Linked DNA regions of Notamacropus eugenii. The protein of the gene in region 1 purifies or fractionates together with the protein of each later gene. This does not show direct contact. Links are inferred from orthologs where the notes say so. Each region holds a gene or a part of one and is shown in the gene's direction. Other genes may lie near its edges.

Region 1 (8,097 bases):
TCTTATTCTCCTCTCCTCACTTGCTGATCACCACATCCCTATTAATCACATTTGTTCTGCCTGGTCTAGTCTAAGGAACATTCTCTTTGGCAGAGAAAAGAGGAGCTAGAAAAAAATTGATAAGTTTAGCTGTTCCTTGGTCATCAAGAGTTTTGGTTCCCCACACCCTAAGAGGGAATCCTGACCTTTCTATCACCCTCTTTTTTTTCTGTGGGCAGTGGAATTAAGAGTCCTAGCCTCTGGTTGCCCTCAGTCATTCTCCCACAAAGAAATGCCTGGGGAAATCAGACCCAGCCTCCCAGCTCATTGTGCAGGACTGGAGCTCTCCTAAGCCCTTCCATGTTCTTCCTCCTTTCTTCTTCCATGCTCTTGTGTCCTGTAGATCTGAACCAAATCAAGGGCCTTTCCTCCTCTCACCTTTTTATCATGTTTCAACCTAATTCAGGTGGTGAGTGCTCTGGGTATCCATATTGACATCTTCTTTCCTCCTTCTCCTTCTCTTCCTTCTTAAAAAAAATCAGTCATTCCTGGATGTTACCTCCCCCACCCCCATCTCATACTTCAGCTGTCCTTTGTAAGAAAGAAAAGTCATTAAGCACAAACCTCTGACCCATGGTACTGGCCAATGCATACAGCTCTCCCCCTGCCCCGTAGGCGTCCCCTTTCATTATCTCTTCCCAGAAAAGGAGGATGGTTTTTATAATTTTTCAGAAGGGTCTCCTTTGAGGGCTCTTTCTATTGAAATCTGTGTAGCTCGTGTGCACCTTCTGAACTTTCTCTGAGTTCTTCATTTTTGTCATTTGTTTCTGCACAATACCCTGAGACTGCGTGGTCATTCTGGCAGTTTGGGCACCCACTCTGTTTCTATTTCTTTGCTACCACAAAAAAGGCTGCTGCAAATACTTCATATGCTGGGCCTTTTGTGCCTGGTTTGGACCTCCTTGGAGCAGATGTGCTATGTTTATTTCCTTTGTGTTGATTCTCTATTTATATATGTCCTTGTTGTCCCACCCCCACCCCCAGCTGAAGCTCCTGCCCATGGGGATGGTCTCCATTCTCATGTGGATGGTCTCCATTCTCATGTGGATGTGTGTGTGGCACCTAGCATAGGGCCCAGCACAGTATAAGGCATTAATAAGCCCTTGCTGACTGTGAAAGACAAAGCTATCATTAAGACAAATTGAGAAATAATCATTTGCTCTGATTTGGGCAGAGGGAAAGCTCTGCAGCGTGCCCAGAAGATTGAAGTTCTGTCTCCCCTTTAGGTCAGGCCCCTGGCCTAGGTAGGAGGTCCTTTGTCCAGGCTCCTCATCCATTGCCTCTTTCTGTCTCAGTGGACCATACCAAATTCTACCAACCATTCCATTTTTGTTTCTGTTCAAGTGCTGCCTGCTTCCTGCATCTCCTCCCCTGAGTGCTTCCTCACCCTCCTCTCTACCCCCCCCAAGGCTCTGTGAAGTTGGACAGGCATTCCCAACTGTTCAGGTCCTCCTGTGTGCAGGGTGCCTAGGATGAAACAGGGGTTTTCATTCACCTGGGCTGGGCTACAGCCCTCAGGGGAGATATCTATCTCAGTAAGCTGGCTATTTTTAGTTTGCTGCATCCTCTGGAAAGGCATGTGCTGAAGGGGAAAGATGGTGGGACTTGGTGTCAGCATACTCCCTGGTGTGTCAGCCTCAGGCTGTCCATCTGTGAAATGGGGATAGTAATGGCAAGCCCTCGGCCCCATATGCCAGACAAGCAGAGCTGCTACCTTCTTTTCTTTTACCCTTGGGGTCTGGGCTGCTGAGGGAGCACCCAGACCTATCTTTCTTCCTCCCTCCTACCTGCCTTCTCCCAGTTAGAGCAGCAGCTGCAGCAGCGGACCTCAGAGCAGCTAGAGATGCAGGTACAGAATGCCCAGCTCTGGCTGGCGAATGAGGAGCTTCGGACGCAGCTGGAGCAGAGCCAGGCCCAGCTGGAGGTGACTCGGGAGCAGCTGCTGAGGCTGCAGGCTGAGGCTCAAGCTGAGAAAGAGCAGAAGCACAGGTCCTGCAGCAGGGGGTTGCCCACTCTGGCTGTGGGGGTTGGGGAGGGGCCCTGGGGTCCTGGGTCCCACTCTGAGAGCAGGCTTCATACCTCAGTTTCCCTTTGCCTTTCTCCTTGCCCATCATTCTCCTACCTGGAAAGAAGCCAGGTAGGGCCTAGGACCATCTACCCTGCTCTACCCTTCTGGATGAGAGGGGGCTAGAAATGACCTGAGCTCTGGGGATCCACTAGGGATCACGGAGCATGAGCCACAGGGGATGGGGGGGTGTCAGAAACATCCGAGTCATCTCCCTGCCCCATCCTACCCTGGCCCACAGGGATGTGGTCATTGTGTCCAGAAACATGCAGACGGAGAAACACAGCCTCCTCCGGCAGCTGGAGTTACTGAGGTGAGCTTGGGGCAGAAGCCAGGCTCACGGCCTCTCCCACATTTGGAAACGTTGTGCCCCTCTGTCTTCCTGGCTCCTCTCCCTCTTTAGCCTCAGTGGCTTCCACTTCCCCCTTTACCCACATCTCTCTACCCCCTTGTCACACCCCTGTTCTCTCTCTTATGCTGATCCCACCAGAGACCTGAATAGAAGACTTCGGGATGAGAGAGACATCTTCGAGGCCAAGAAGCTGGTTAGTGGGCAGAGGAGGAAGACTCTAGCTCCACCTGCCCGCTTCCCCCTGGGCCCCTGCTCTAGCTGCTGCCGCTGCAGTTGTCCCCATCGGGCCAGCCCTTGACACTGGAACCTGACTAAGGCAGGCCTCATCCCTCTTCTGGCTAGCTGGAGGCCCCAGCAGGAGCGCCTTCCCTTCACTGATTTCCATCTCATCCCAGGTCCCCTGCAAGGGCCTGGCTGCCCAGCGTCTGCTGCAAGACCAGGTCCAAAGTGGCCCATTTAATGGCGGCTCTAATGGGAGTAGCTGCAAATGACAATTCTGTTCCCTCCCCTTTGTGCTCCTGCTCCTGGGGTGTGGGAGGGACTGGGGAGGCCATGAGGCACCAGAGTAAGGCCAGGCCAGGAAGGACTAGGGCAGCCCCAGTTGGCTCAGGCTCTAGTCATGTGGCTGAAACCTCTTGTCCCCCCCAGCTCCTGGCCCAGGAAGCCACACCTCTCCTGGTCCCAAGCAGAACTGCATGAGGCCTGGGTCTGAACTGCCAAGATGAAGGATTAAACCCCAACGGCATCGTCCCTTCCTACACCCTGTCCTGAGTGGGATACATCAGAGCATACCTGTCCCCAAATATACCCACTAATGCATCAAGTGTCCCTTGTCATGTTTCTGGGATGGTCCGGGAAAGCGATGGGAGTGTAGCGTTCAGGAAGCATTTCCTCATATCCACTCTGGTGCCTAGGACAAAAAACTCCTCAGGAAGCATAATGAGACCAAACTGGTCCATGGGGACAAAGCTGAGCGGCCAGAGGGCGGCCTATGCTCATTGGAGGAGGAGTCTAGCAGAACCGGCAGACCTTGCAAGCTCCAGGGACGTGCCTCCCCGACTTTGGTCTCATCTCCCGCCAGGTGGCGCTGACTGCTCTACTACTGGGGCACTTGGGGGTGAGGGCTCCTGGCAATCCTGGAGCCATCCTGGCCCTGAGAGTCTCATCTACACTGGCCCATGACTCGCTTCTACTCCTTTTGGGGTTACTTTTTTCATGGCACCTTAATGCTTATAAGGGGAGGGAAATGAGCACTTACTTGGCCCCTGATGGGTGCCAAGAACTGTGCTGACTGCTTTATAATTATCTCATTTGATCCTCACAACTCTGGGAGGAGGGGGGTGCTGTCAGGGTCCGTAACATCTGCTTTGCTGCCTCGCTACCCCTCGATAAAGCCCATCCCTCAGAATGGATTGGGAGGGAGACAATGCAGGTGTCACCCTATTTCAAAGAAGCAACTGAGGCTCACTGCCACGTGTTGTGCCCAAACCTAGTGTTAGGCTGGGCACTCAAAAAGCAGGACTGAGGAAGACAGAGAAGCCCATGTGCCCTATCTGCCCCGGGGCCTTCAGCACCAGCTGCCTCCTGAGGCCTGGGACAAATCCCTCCTGGGAACAGGGAGCTGACTCCCCCAGCCAGCAGTCAATACACATGTACCGAGCGCCTGCTGTACACTCAGCAGGGTGCACATTGGCAGGAGGAGGCAGGCAAAGTGGAATTTGAACCCAGACCCAGTTCAAATCCAGACCTTCCCCGAGGTGCGAGGACTTGGCTGGGCAGGCAGAGCCTGAACAGAAGGCGGCCAGGCAGAACCTGGTTTTGCTTGGCCCTAGGGATCAGAAGACTCGCAGGGGACAGCCCCTTTGCACCCCCTAGGCTGACCCGTCCATCGAGTCCTCCGGGGCACAGGAACCTGGGGAGGGTGACCTCTCCTATCGACACCCCCCCCCCCCGGGCACAGGAATCTGGGGGTGCCCCTAGGGCACAGGGACGGGGTGGGGCGTGGGGGAGCGTCGGCAAAGCCCCGGTCAAGCTCTTCTTGGGAAGTTGGGGGGGCTGGAAGTGAGAGCCCCGCCCCTCTCCGCCTGGCGGCTTCTCCCCTGACTCCTGCTCAGGCCGGGGTGCAGGCTGGGTCCACTGAGGCAGCAGGCCTGCCGCGAGAGGGGCCGGCCAGCTCGTGGACCGGTAGAAGGGTCCCCCATTAAGGCTGCTCAACGCAGAGCGAACTGCGCCATGGCCTGGGCTGGGCGGGGGCCGGGCCTGGGGCGGGTGGGCGGGGGTCTGTCTGGGGCGGGGCCTGGGGCGGGTGGGCGGGGTCTGTCTGGGGCGGGGCCTGGGGCAGGCGGCCGGGGGTCTGTCTGTCAGGGGCGGGTGGGCGGGGTCTGTCTGGGGCGGGGCCTGGGGCGGGTGGGCGGGGTCTGTCTGGGGCCGGGCCTGGGGCAGGCGGGCGGGGTCTGTCTGTCGGGCCTGGGCCGGAGGCCTCACATTCCGTCCGGTCCCGTCCCTGTCCCATCCCTCCGCCCCGGAGCCGGCGCCTTCTGCTTCTCTGCGCTCGGGCCGCCCGCAGGTTGGTGAGAGGCTGGGGTGGGGGAGTAGGGATCTAGGGGGGCGAAGGGCGGGCTCTGGGGTTCCGGCCCTTCCCCGACCCGGCCGCGGCCTGCGCTCCACCCCCTCCCCCCACCCGGGTCTGGACTGGGCTGACCTGTAGAGGGGATCAGGAGAGGATGAAGGCCTGGTCTCTGGCCTCCCCACCTGCCTGGCCCCCAAGGTACCCCCCCCACCTACCCCGGTGCTCCGGCCCTTTCTGCCTCAGTTTCCCTTCCAGGACCATGGCGACCATGCTGACCAGAGAGGCAGAGGGCCTCAGTGGAGTGGAAGGGGGCGCTCCTCTGGTGGAGCAATTGTTCCTCCCAGGGAGGGGGGGCTTCTTACAATGTGTGTGTGCATGTATATATGTATGTGCATATGTGTATGTGTATAGGTGTGTATGTATGTGGGGGTGCCACTGTGACCATCTCCTTTTCTCCAGCTCAATCGGGGCCTCCACCAGGAAGGCCTCCCTGACTCCAGCTCTTTCCCTGGCTGGGGAACGTATTATATTTCCCATCTTTCCACTGGCTGTGACTTTCTATAACTTTGGGGTGGGTGGGGCTGTCAACGATGAGATCTTGTTGGACTGGGAGTGAGGTGGGGGTCCTGGCAGCCTGGCTTTGCCCCAGCATACGGGCATCCTGGAGTTACTCCTGCGGTCCCCTTTGGGGAATGGGAGTGAGTGTGTGTGTGTGTGTGTGTGTGTGTGTTGGGTGGGGCATAAGGCCAGCCCCCTGTGACTGGAAGGGCTATTTCTGTCCCAGCAGCATCGATGGCAGCAGTTGGGACCAGCGTCCCTCCTGGGACTTAGATCCTGGGAAGCTGTGGTGGGAGCAAGCCACCCCTTGCCCCTCTCTGCACTCCTGGGAGCTGGCTGGGGTCAGCCAGGGCCTATGGCTATGGCCTTCTGGGATGGAGCAGCCCCTGTTCCCTCAGCCTCCCAGAACCTTCACTGATGCTTCTGGGAGACAGCTCCTGGATGTGTTCTCAGGGTCTATTTGCTTGTCCTTGGTGGCGTTTTTGCTCTCCTCCTCAAACCTGACCAGAGGCTGGCAGGACAGGCCTGGGGCATGTGGGTGCTGAACATCCAGAGGGCTTCTCTTAGCCATCCATCCGTCTACTGCACTTGGATACCAGAGGACCCTGCCCAAACTGCCTTCTAACAGTTTGGAAATGAGCTGGGACCCTGGGACACTTGGGGGAAACTAAGAGGGTCAGGGAAGGCAGCTCAGCAGGGTAGGGAGAGGATTTCCAGCGGTCCCCTAAGGTTCCCCGCTCTGTTGCCGGAAGGACTGGTTCTTGACCCTCTCTGCTCACCTCAGGAGTTGGTCACACCCCGGAGTATACCCCTCCTCTTCCCCACCTGGGCTAAAAGGGTAGAGTGACTTGCCCCGCTCTAGATGTCCCCTCATATCAGGTGCACCGGAAGGGCTAGGGAGGTATATAACTGATAACCAGGCTTCAGGATGGGGAGCAGCCCAGAAGTGGGCAGGGCAAGCTGCTGGTCAAGGACCAAGGGTCTAAAGTCCAAGTGAGGGTAGAAGTGAATCTGCTGTTGCAGCAGGGAAACTGAATCAGGTCGGTCCACTACCACTGATGGAACACTTGGTGGGTGCTGGGCCCAGTCTAGGCACTGGGCCACAAAGGAAGGTAATAGCCCCTGCTGACCTGCGGAGATGATGCACAAATGCCAATCCACTTCATCTCCTTGGGTTTCTGCTTCCCAGGCCTGGAAGAAGTCTCTGTCAGCCCCTTCCCTTACCACTTTTTGTACCAAAAAACACTTATTGGTGTCCATTGTCCACTGGCATAGGGGAGGGTCTGAGCCAGAGAAGACCCCTACCAGGTCCCTGACACCCCCCTGCCCAGAGTGCGAAAGGGTCACTGGAGAGGCAAAGAAGCAGAGTTGGTAGAGGGCAGGGGCCCTCAAAGACTTATGTTGTTCAGGAGATGCTGGGGGTCCATTGTGACCCAGTGGTTAGAGTGGGAAGAGTCCTTAGAGACAGCAGCCTCTCATCCTACAGAACAGGGGCTGGAAGGGCCTGTCTGAAGCGAGTAGCTGAGCAGAGGGTGGGTACAGGGCTCTCTGGTGGGGTATGGTCAGCAGCATTTGGCCCCTGGCTGGAGGGAGGGGCCATCCTTTCTCAGCTCTCTTCCATGCTCTCTTCTCTCCTCCCCTTCCCCCAGGACCAGTTGATTCCTGCCTGGTTCAGTTCCTCTGGGCTGGACCCAGCTCTGACGTTCGGCCTAGGGAATGCAGTGCAGGGGAGGGGCTGAGGGAGGAGCCAAGGCCATGCGGGGGCTGATCACCCAGTGTTTAGTGTGCCCTGTGGAGGGAACCTGAACCCTGGGGCTTGTGTGGGAGCATCCTGCCCTGCCCTGCCCTAGCGTGCCCTGAGGCTTCCTTCTTTGCCTGGGAGATCCTGGAGGCCAGAGGAGGGTGGGGAGACCCAGACCACCTGGGCTGGGGAGGGCCGACTGGTGGATGGCCCCCTCCCTTGGCCGGTCTTTTGGACTGGTCATTTCTGCCAGGAAACTGCCCATTGTCCTGGTTTCCTGGGAAAATACTCCTCAGTTGTGAATGTGCCAGGTGTCTGAGGGTGGACAGGACCTCTCCCAGCCCCCATCCAGCTGCCCCCCATCCCTCTCGTTGTGTCTCCTGGGGTGAAGGGTTTAGAGTCTGGTCGGGGCAGAGCCTGTCTTCCTAACCTGCGCTGGCACTCCCTTAGGGCTCCCCTTTGACTTAGGAGGTTCTCTCCCCACCCTGGGCTCTCAAGATGGGCGAGTATAACGAGAAGAAGGAGACGTGTGGTACCATCTGCCTGAAATACCTGCTCTTTACCTTCAATTGCTGCTTCTGGGTAAGATGGACCAGCGCAGAGGGAGGGGGAAAGACCAGGGCCAAGGTGGGGGGCAGACGGAGGACAGCAGGGCAGAACTGCAGTGGGAGGCTGGAGCAGTCTCCTAGGACAGAGGGGAGACTGATGAGTCAGTCTGCAGAGGGGGAGGGTGTCCCTGCTGCTTTCTTGCTTTGGCTCACAGAGCTGGGGGG
Region 2 (7,980 bases), about 320 Mb from region 1:
AATACTTATAAATAAAATGTCTACAAATATGTATATCATACAAGATATTCACATTAAATGGGAGATCATCTCAGAGGAAAGACACATGGGGGGCCAGGGGTGGGGCAAGGGGAAAAGACAGAAGATGGGATTTGAACTGAGTTTTAATGAAAGTCAGACAAGCTAGAAAGCAGAAGATAAGTGAGAGCAACGTAGGTACTGAATGGAGAGACTACATGTTCTATGCAAAATTAGCCCCTTCTTACCTCCTAATCCCTCAGAATTCCCCATTCAGACTCCCTTCTCCAACTACTGAGTGGACCATGCACTCAGCTCTAGTCCATATCTCAGTTTCTCCTGTCCTCCAACCTCTCTGATTAGAAGTACATTTTCCTCTTCTTTCCAACTCCCCAGTCCTGTTCTTGCTCCTTCATTCCAACCCTATTCTCCATTTCCCTCTTTGGAGAAGTCCTCCCTTATTCCCCTTCCCCCTGTCCATAGAAGGAAATTAACCCAAATACCCTCATCTGTTGGTCCCTGTCTGTGTCCCCAGGATACAACGCATCTGCTTTATGACAGAAGTCCACAAGAGACCATGTTTAAGGAGGCTGAGCCTGAAGTGAAGCAATGGTTAGTGAAGTCATAGTGACTGAAGTTACTTAAGTGATTCTAGCCCTTGGAAGAGGCTGGAAAAGAATAGCTAACAGAGAGGTGACTGCTTTAGGGACCTAGTATTTTTCTTCATGACTTTTCCTCTTTGCAGTCCCTGCCTCCTCTCGATGCCTTTCCCTGCTGCTCCTCTCCTCCCATCAGCCTTTGGAATCTGGGATCTCCCCCACATTCCTTGGCTCTCCTTCCTTTTTGTCCATGGCTTTGTTATCTCCGTCCAGAGACTAACTTCTCTAACTCTCAGTTTTCCTCTGCTTGACTAGTAATCCCCTGTTCCAGTCTCCATTCTAACTTTAAAGCTACTATTCTCTCCCCTGAAATGGAAAAAAAATCCTCATCCTTTTCCTACTTCCCATCCCTGGGATCGGACATGCCAGTCATTTCTGTTTGGGATGGTAGGGGAGATAATAGTTGACATGTAGCCTGAACCCTAACCCTGGAGGTGATCTCAAAGCACTTTTCAGATAGGAGTGCTGTCCTCAATCCCTTAATCACTAATGATCTCTTCATGTTGGGATCCTATCTCCTTTCTACATCTGAATATCATTCCTACTGTAATAACATTCCTACTGGGATGGTCAAATGAATGGCTGATGCAACAGCAAAAAGGGCCAAAGGCTGTGGGTTTAGTCTGTCTAGAACAGGTAGCTTTGCTCTATTTCCTGGACACAGTATGCACTGTGGTCACTATGTCACCCAGGGAACTGGGATTGGTACCATTTTAGTTACATTTACGTTTTGCACTGCATTTCAAGGTTTACAAAGCACTTTACACACATTATCTCACCTGAGTTTCATAACAACCCTATAAGGGATATGTGCAAAGTATGATTGCCCCCATTTTACAAATGAGGAAATTGAAGCCTAGGGAGGTTAAGTGACTTACCTGCCCAAGTTCACTGAAGTAGTAAGTTTCTGAGGCAATATTTAAACCCAGGTCTTCCCAATTCTCTGGTCTAACACTCTAGCCATTATACCATGCTTCCAGTTTTAATTACCTCATCCTCCATAAACATTTCTTTGCAACATCACTGTAGAAACAAACAACACAGAAAAATTTAAGCATTCTGATCAATGCAATGATCAACCACCATTCTATTAGACCTGTGGTGATCTATGTAACCTCTTTCCTGAAGGAGGTGACAGACTCAAGAAGCGGAAGAAGATCTACATTTCTGGACATGGATAATGTGGGGATCTGTTTGATTGACTATGCATCCTTGTTTCAAAGGTTTTGTTTTAATTTTTCTTTCAATTGGACCGGGAAGGTGAGAAGGAGAGAGGGGTTGGGGAAAGATTTTTGAGAGACAGAGGAAGAGAGAGAGAGAGAACAGAAGGAAAGCCAGAAGGAATTACAGACAAGAAAGATAGGTTTAAATGTTACATTTTTTATTTACTTAAAAATAAAAGCAAGCTCTACATAATAAAAACTCACAGTTGCAAGTATAATTCTCACCTTCTGTTCAACAAGGACACACAAAATAAAATAAAGAACTCTTTCTCTAGACCCTGTCCCATCTCCCACCCTCATCATTTTTCGGTTGTGTGTGACTCTGTGATCCTATTTGGGGTTTTCTTGACGAAAATGCAGGAATGATTTACCCTTTCTTTAGCTCATTTTACAAATGAGTAAACTGAGGCAAACAGGGTTAAGTGACTTGCCCAATCTGAACCTAGGAAGATGGGTCTTCCTGACTCCAGGCCCAGTGCTCTATCCCATGTGCCACCTAGCTGCCCCTCCTAGTTGCCCCTCCTTCAGTTTAGACAGTTAATTCATGATAAAGGTACTGCTGCCCTCCTTGAAGAGTAATAATAATAGCTAACATTTGTTTAACACTTTAAAGTTTACAAAGTCCTTTATATATCTTAGCTCATTTAATCCTCACAGTGATCTTGTGAGGTAAATTTATCTCAGTTTTACAGATTGATGAAAACTGAGGTAGAAAGAGATTAAGTGATTTGCCAGGTTCACACGGCCAATAACCTATCATTCCAACAACTGGAAGCATATCAGTCTCCATGAATTAATAATAATAGCTTATATAGCTGCCTACTAGGAGCCAGGTACTGTGCTAAGTGCTTTCCAACCATTATCTTGTTTGATCCTCAGGACAACCCTGTGAGGTGAGTGATATTGAGTGATATTATTATATCCATTTTGCCGATGAGGAATCTGAAGCCATCAGAGGCTAAGGTCACATAGCTGATACACATCTAAGATCATACTTGAACTCAGGTCTTCCTCACTCTGGAGCCTGCAGCTGCCTCCACTGTGGGTCTCTTGAAGATTGTGAAGAAGTGGATCTCTACTCTTCTTGGTAATTTACTAAGGGAGAATTTCCAGTTAGGAGAGGAGACCAGTTAGGAGATGTTTTAAAAGAAGAGATGGTGAAAGATTGGCCATCATCCTTATCATGGGCAGGGGAACAGATGAGATAAGTTCAGGGTCCTTTCCAGCTATCATGGTGTGTGGTTGATGATTTCTTAGGAGACCCACCCACCTGCACAGGAGCCACCACCCAGTGTCAACAGTGCTCCCTGGCTCAGCCTCCCCATCCAATCCTCAGAGGCTTGGCTAAAGGTCAGGATTCAAAGAAAATCCAGGGTGGGGCTGCTCCCAAAGATAATGGAATAAGGGAGAGGGAGGATCCCATGATCACCCTTTTCAAGAGGGGCTTTTTAAGGAGAGGAGAGGAGAGGATAAACCAGCTGGGTTAGATTCAGTGTAGTGCTATCTGCTGGCTGCTGATGGGAAGACATTACCTCCAACAGGATCTGGGAATTATGATTAGGTTAGAGGCCTCTGAGATGGTGGTGCAATGAATACCATGCTGAACTTTGAGGTTCAAATTGTGCTACAGAGGCTTTTTGCCAACAAGTCAGGGCCGGCGCCTAGGTAGTTCAATGGATAGAGCAATGGCCCCGGAGTCAGGAGGACTTAATCCGGGCCTCAGACACTTAATAGCTGTGTGACCCTGGGCAATTCATTTGATCCGGTTTGCCTCAGTTTCCTCATATGTAAAATGATGTAATACTAGTTCTGACCTTGGAAAATTATGAGGATCAAATGAGATAACATGCAAAAGTACTTAAATATGTATTATTATTGTTATTAAAGGAGGTTGAGGAGCAAGGACTCCAGGGTCCACCCAATTCCCAGTTCACTAGACATATCACTGAGTGGGAAATGTAGGTGTGACTTAGTTTCCTCCTGGTTAAATGGCAGACTGCGAATGCCTGGCACTTTGAGATTCCGAAAGATGCGTTGTTAGGGACCTTCGGGCTATATCATTACTAATTAATGTCGATTTTATCTGGCATGTTCGTCCTCCATTCACTCCCAGAAACAAGCAAGGCTTGGGACAACTGTCCGCACACAGCGCCCAGAGGAGAGGATGGTTCAGAGATTTCAGCGACCTTCTCCAGGACAAACAGCCAGAAGAGAGGAAAGGCTGGGATCCGAACCAGCCCGAAAGCCGGACATTCCTAGCCTGAGAGGAGAGATAACCCCGAGAGGCTCCAGCCGTCTGCTGACCTCTCCCGGAGGGCTCTGAGCCGGGACGCGATCGCTGCGGCAGCACCAATAGCCGCAGCGGCGGCGGCGAGAGCAGTCTGCAGGACACCTTTCCCGCCGCCGCCCCGGGCTTCCCTACCCGATGGTCCGGTAGCAGAATGCCGGGAGACAGCGGGGTCGGGTCTTGGGGGGCCCTGAACAGGTGTTTAGGGAGGGCGCCGGGGGGCGGAGGGAGGGGCGCAGCTTCCCCTTTAAGAGGTGGTTGCAGAGCCGAGCCCTTCTCCACCCTTTCCCCGGAAGAAAAGCGGAGCCTAGGCCGAGGCGTGCTAGGTGGGGAGGTGCGGAGCTGGGCGTGGGGAAGGCGGGGCCGCAGGACCCCTCCCTCCCGCCCTCCCTTGCTCCCTCGCAGCCGCGATCCGGCCCCCGCAGCCCGTAGCCCGGATCGGGTAGCAAGCGCCTGCAGAGCGCGGAGGGCGCAGCTTGAGAGGAGCCTGAGGGAGGGGAAAGTGGCAGGAGGGCAGGGCCGAAGACGCCGGGGGCCGGAGGGTCAGTCCGTGCGGACTGCGGTGACACAGCCCAGAGGAAGGAGGGAAGGGAAGAGGGGTGCTACTGACGCCGGCGGGGTGGGAACCCCTGCGAGGACAGGGTGTGAAACTGACCAGGGGTACCTGACTGGACTAAGTGGGGCCACCTGACGGGATTGGCTGAGGGACTGTCGGCTACGCCGCAGGCGGCGACGGGGAAACAGGTGAATCTCACCCCCCACGCCTTCCCCGCGCCCCCAATATACACCCATCCGCCCCACCGGGTCGGCTGGAACCATGGACCCGGACCCCCGAGGCCGCCGTGCCCCCTGTGCCCAGCGCCTGCCCCTCTGCGCCTTGGCGCTGGCCCTGGCAGCCGCCGGCTGTCGCGTTGCCTCCGCCTTCAACCTGGACACCCGGTTCCTGGTGGTGAAGGAGGCCTCGAACCCCGGGAGCCTCTTCGGCTACTCGGTCGCCCTCCACCGGCAGACTGAGCGGCAGCAGCGTTACCTGTGAGTGGGGGCGGGAGCGGCAGCTGGGGGTGGCGGGAGACCGGGACATCAAAGAGGGACCTCCTACATTCCCGTACCCAGCCCACTTCCTTTGAGCGCTTAGAACGCCCCTGAGGTTTAAGAATTTTGGGGCCCGGCACTGGGTAGCTTTGCCGAGAGGGGAAGGACTGAGCGGGGAGAAGAAGAGGGGGGTGAGGCGGCGGGACCTGCGGTGGGAGGGGAGTAGATAATCCCTAACACGTGCAGGAGCTGCTCCAACCTGCCTCTCCCCTCTAGAAAAATTCCCAGTCTTGAGGCACAGGCTGGGGGTGGGGTACCCTTTGTGCCTGGAGACCCGACTAGGAGTGACCGGGTTGCCGAACTCTCTCCTTAGCTCCTAATCCTGGGCACCTAGCTGGGCTTTGAAATCTTAGGACTTGGGTCCCCAGTCGTGGGGAACGGGAAAAGGCCCTAAGGGAACAGCCATGTGTCAGGAAGAAATCCTCAGCCTGTTGACCCTCTCACCTTGACTGTCCACCTTGTCCTGACATTCCCCACCACACTAGCCATATCTTCGACATGTCCAGGGATAATAGCATCCCAAGATCTAGAGCTGAGGAAATCTAGTTAAACCCCCTCCTTTTACAGAGTAGTTAACTGAGGCCCAGAGAAAGGAGGAAGGACTTGCCCAGGGTTACGGGAGAAGTAGTCATTTATTCCTTATGTGTGTACATAGAACCTTCATGACTTACAAAGCAGGTGTCTTTGCTATAGTCACCCTGTGAAGGGAACATCTGTATATCAAATGACTCGAAGTAACTGTCCCTAAAACATTCACCTAGTACAGTGTCCTGATCTGGATTCGAATTCTGATCCTCTGATTCTGAATGGAGGACTTTCCTCTCTGATTCAGGATGAATGGATTGGATAGATGGAAGCTGTTTCGTTGATTGAGGTCTGGAGGGGGAGTGCTACCTTGACCTAACTAACCCCTGTGCGCCCCCTTGAGGTGCCAGTGGTGGGAAGAGGGCACACTATCCCAATGCTTTCCCACCCCAACAGTTGGGACCCCCCCCACCTCCTCCCGAGCATCTTCTCCACATTCCACACATTCATGCTGAATCTTCAACCCTGAGTGTGTTTGTTTTGGTTTGAAGAGGAAACTGGTATTTTTTTCTCTTTTCTCTCCTCTCTGTTTCCACCCTTTCCCCCCCCCAAATAGCTTCTGAGAAAAGGAAGGGGGCAGGGAGGTCAGTGTTCTGGACAGAGAAGGTGATAGCATCCAGCTGTTTTTGTCCTGAGTCCCATATTGGTTGAGATGGTTGTAATGTTGACCCATTTATTACTGCAGGTTGAGTGTTTTAGGATCTTCAAATGGGGTACTTGTCATTGTTCAGTCATGTCTGACTTTTCATGATCCCTTTTGGGGGTTCCTCGACAAAGATACTAGAGTGGTTTGCTATTTCCTTCTTTGGCTCATTTTTACAGATGAGGAAACTGAAGCAAAGAGGGTGAAGCGACTTGCTCAGGATCACAAAGGTAGTAAGTGTCTGTGTTCAAATTTGAACTCAGATCCTCCTGGCTCCAAGTCTGGTCCTCTCTTCACTACTTCACCTAGCTCCCTCAGATGGAGTATAGGCTGGGCATTTATTTTGTCATTTTATTTTATTTTGGTGGAGGTGAACTTGGGCAGGAAGGCCTTCATGAGAGATGGGGGTGATGGGTGTGTCAGGGGGATCAGGGGAAGGTAACAGGAGCAGTTCCGCTTTCTCAGAGCTGGGTGGCCGTAATGGAGAGAGCTCTCAACTTCTACACCCAGGAAGTAGTGGAGTGGTTGAAGGTGTTTGGGGAATTATAGCAAAGCACAGGGCCCTGCCCTGCCTAGTCCTAGTCCTATGGCCTTCCTGAGAAGCGGCTAAAGTCCAAACCTCCTCAGCAGTCTTGACCTTTGACCCCTGACTGAGAGATCCCAGCTCCATCCAGAGCTTAACCCTAAAACTTGGGAAAGGTTGAGGAAGGACCAGGGAGTCTGGAGTGCTGTGTTCTCCTCATGATACTCAGCCTGAAAAGTGATAGGGACACTTTTCTCCATTTTCCAAGGGGACTGTCTTTGGAGACCCTAGATACAGCTTCTTCCTTAGTTTAGAGTATAGCAGGGATTTTCCGCAAGAAGCAATGAAGTGCTCTCCTACTCCTGAGAGTCAGGAGACCTGGATCCTAATCCTGGCTATGTGACTTTGGGCAAGTCAATTCCCCTCTCTTCAATTTCCTCCTGTAAAACAAAAGACTTGAAGGGATGAGATGATGTTATCCAGTGAAAAGAGCACTGGTGTTTGTCAGAGGATCTGGGCTCAAATATTGGCTTTGCTAATGCTAATTTATGACCTTGGGCAAGTCACTTAACATCCCTGGGTCTCAGTTTCCTCATCTGTTAAACAAGAGGATTGAATTAGATGGCCTCTGAAAACCCCTTCAGTTCTAAGTCTATGATCATCTAATCTCTGAGGTCCCTTCTCCTAGGCTCTGACAGTCTCTAATTCCACATACCTTCCCCTGACTCCCAGAGTGAGAATTATCAATGGCATGAGTACTACTCAACTGCCCTGTGGTAAATGAGCTAAATCTTTAGATACCTGAGTCTCTCTACACTTTGTTCCAAATGTCCTCTTCAACACATCTCAAAGCACTACCGTTCAGAATCATGGACTTTCAGAGTTTTAAGGGACTTTGTAGTCTGCTGCCTCCTTCCCCTTGCCTCAAAATGTCCTTTTCAGGTGTTTTTGAGTGTAGAGATTCTGGATCT

What was found.
Region 2: the proteins of CD151 (region 1) and ITGA3 purify together in Homo sapiens (co-immunoprecipitation; 4 studies listed by BioGRID and IntAct, with this or other methods). This does not show direct contact. The link is inferred for Notamacropus eugenii from reciprocal best matches to the Homo sapiens genes CD151 and ITGA3.

What each region holds. Positions count from the first base shown.
Region 1 is NC_092873.1:27,466,492-27,474,588, reverse strand, and holds the start of CD151 (CD151 antigen), read left to right. Parts: upstream 1-4,864; 5' UTR 4,865-5,022; intron 5,023-6,672; exon of another isoform or gene 6,673-6,695; intron 6,696-7,354; exon of another isoform or gene 7,355-7,485; intron 7,486-7,774; 5' UTR 7,775-7,822; coding exon 7,823-7,906; intron 7,907-8,097. Other genes in the region: CRACR2B (EF-hand calcium-binding domain-containing protein 4A), read left to right, coding at 1,841-2,028, 2,346-2,417, 2,595-2,754. UniProt on the Homo sapiens protein: Structural component of specialized membrane microdomains known as tetraspanin-enriched microdomains (TERMs), which act as platforms for receptor clustering and signaling.
Region 2 is NC_092873.1:350,539,070-350,547,049, reverse strand, and holds the start of ITGA3 (integrin alpha-3), read left to right. Parts: upstream 1-4,833; 5' UTR 4,834-4,983; coding exon 4,984-5,198; intron 5,199-7,980.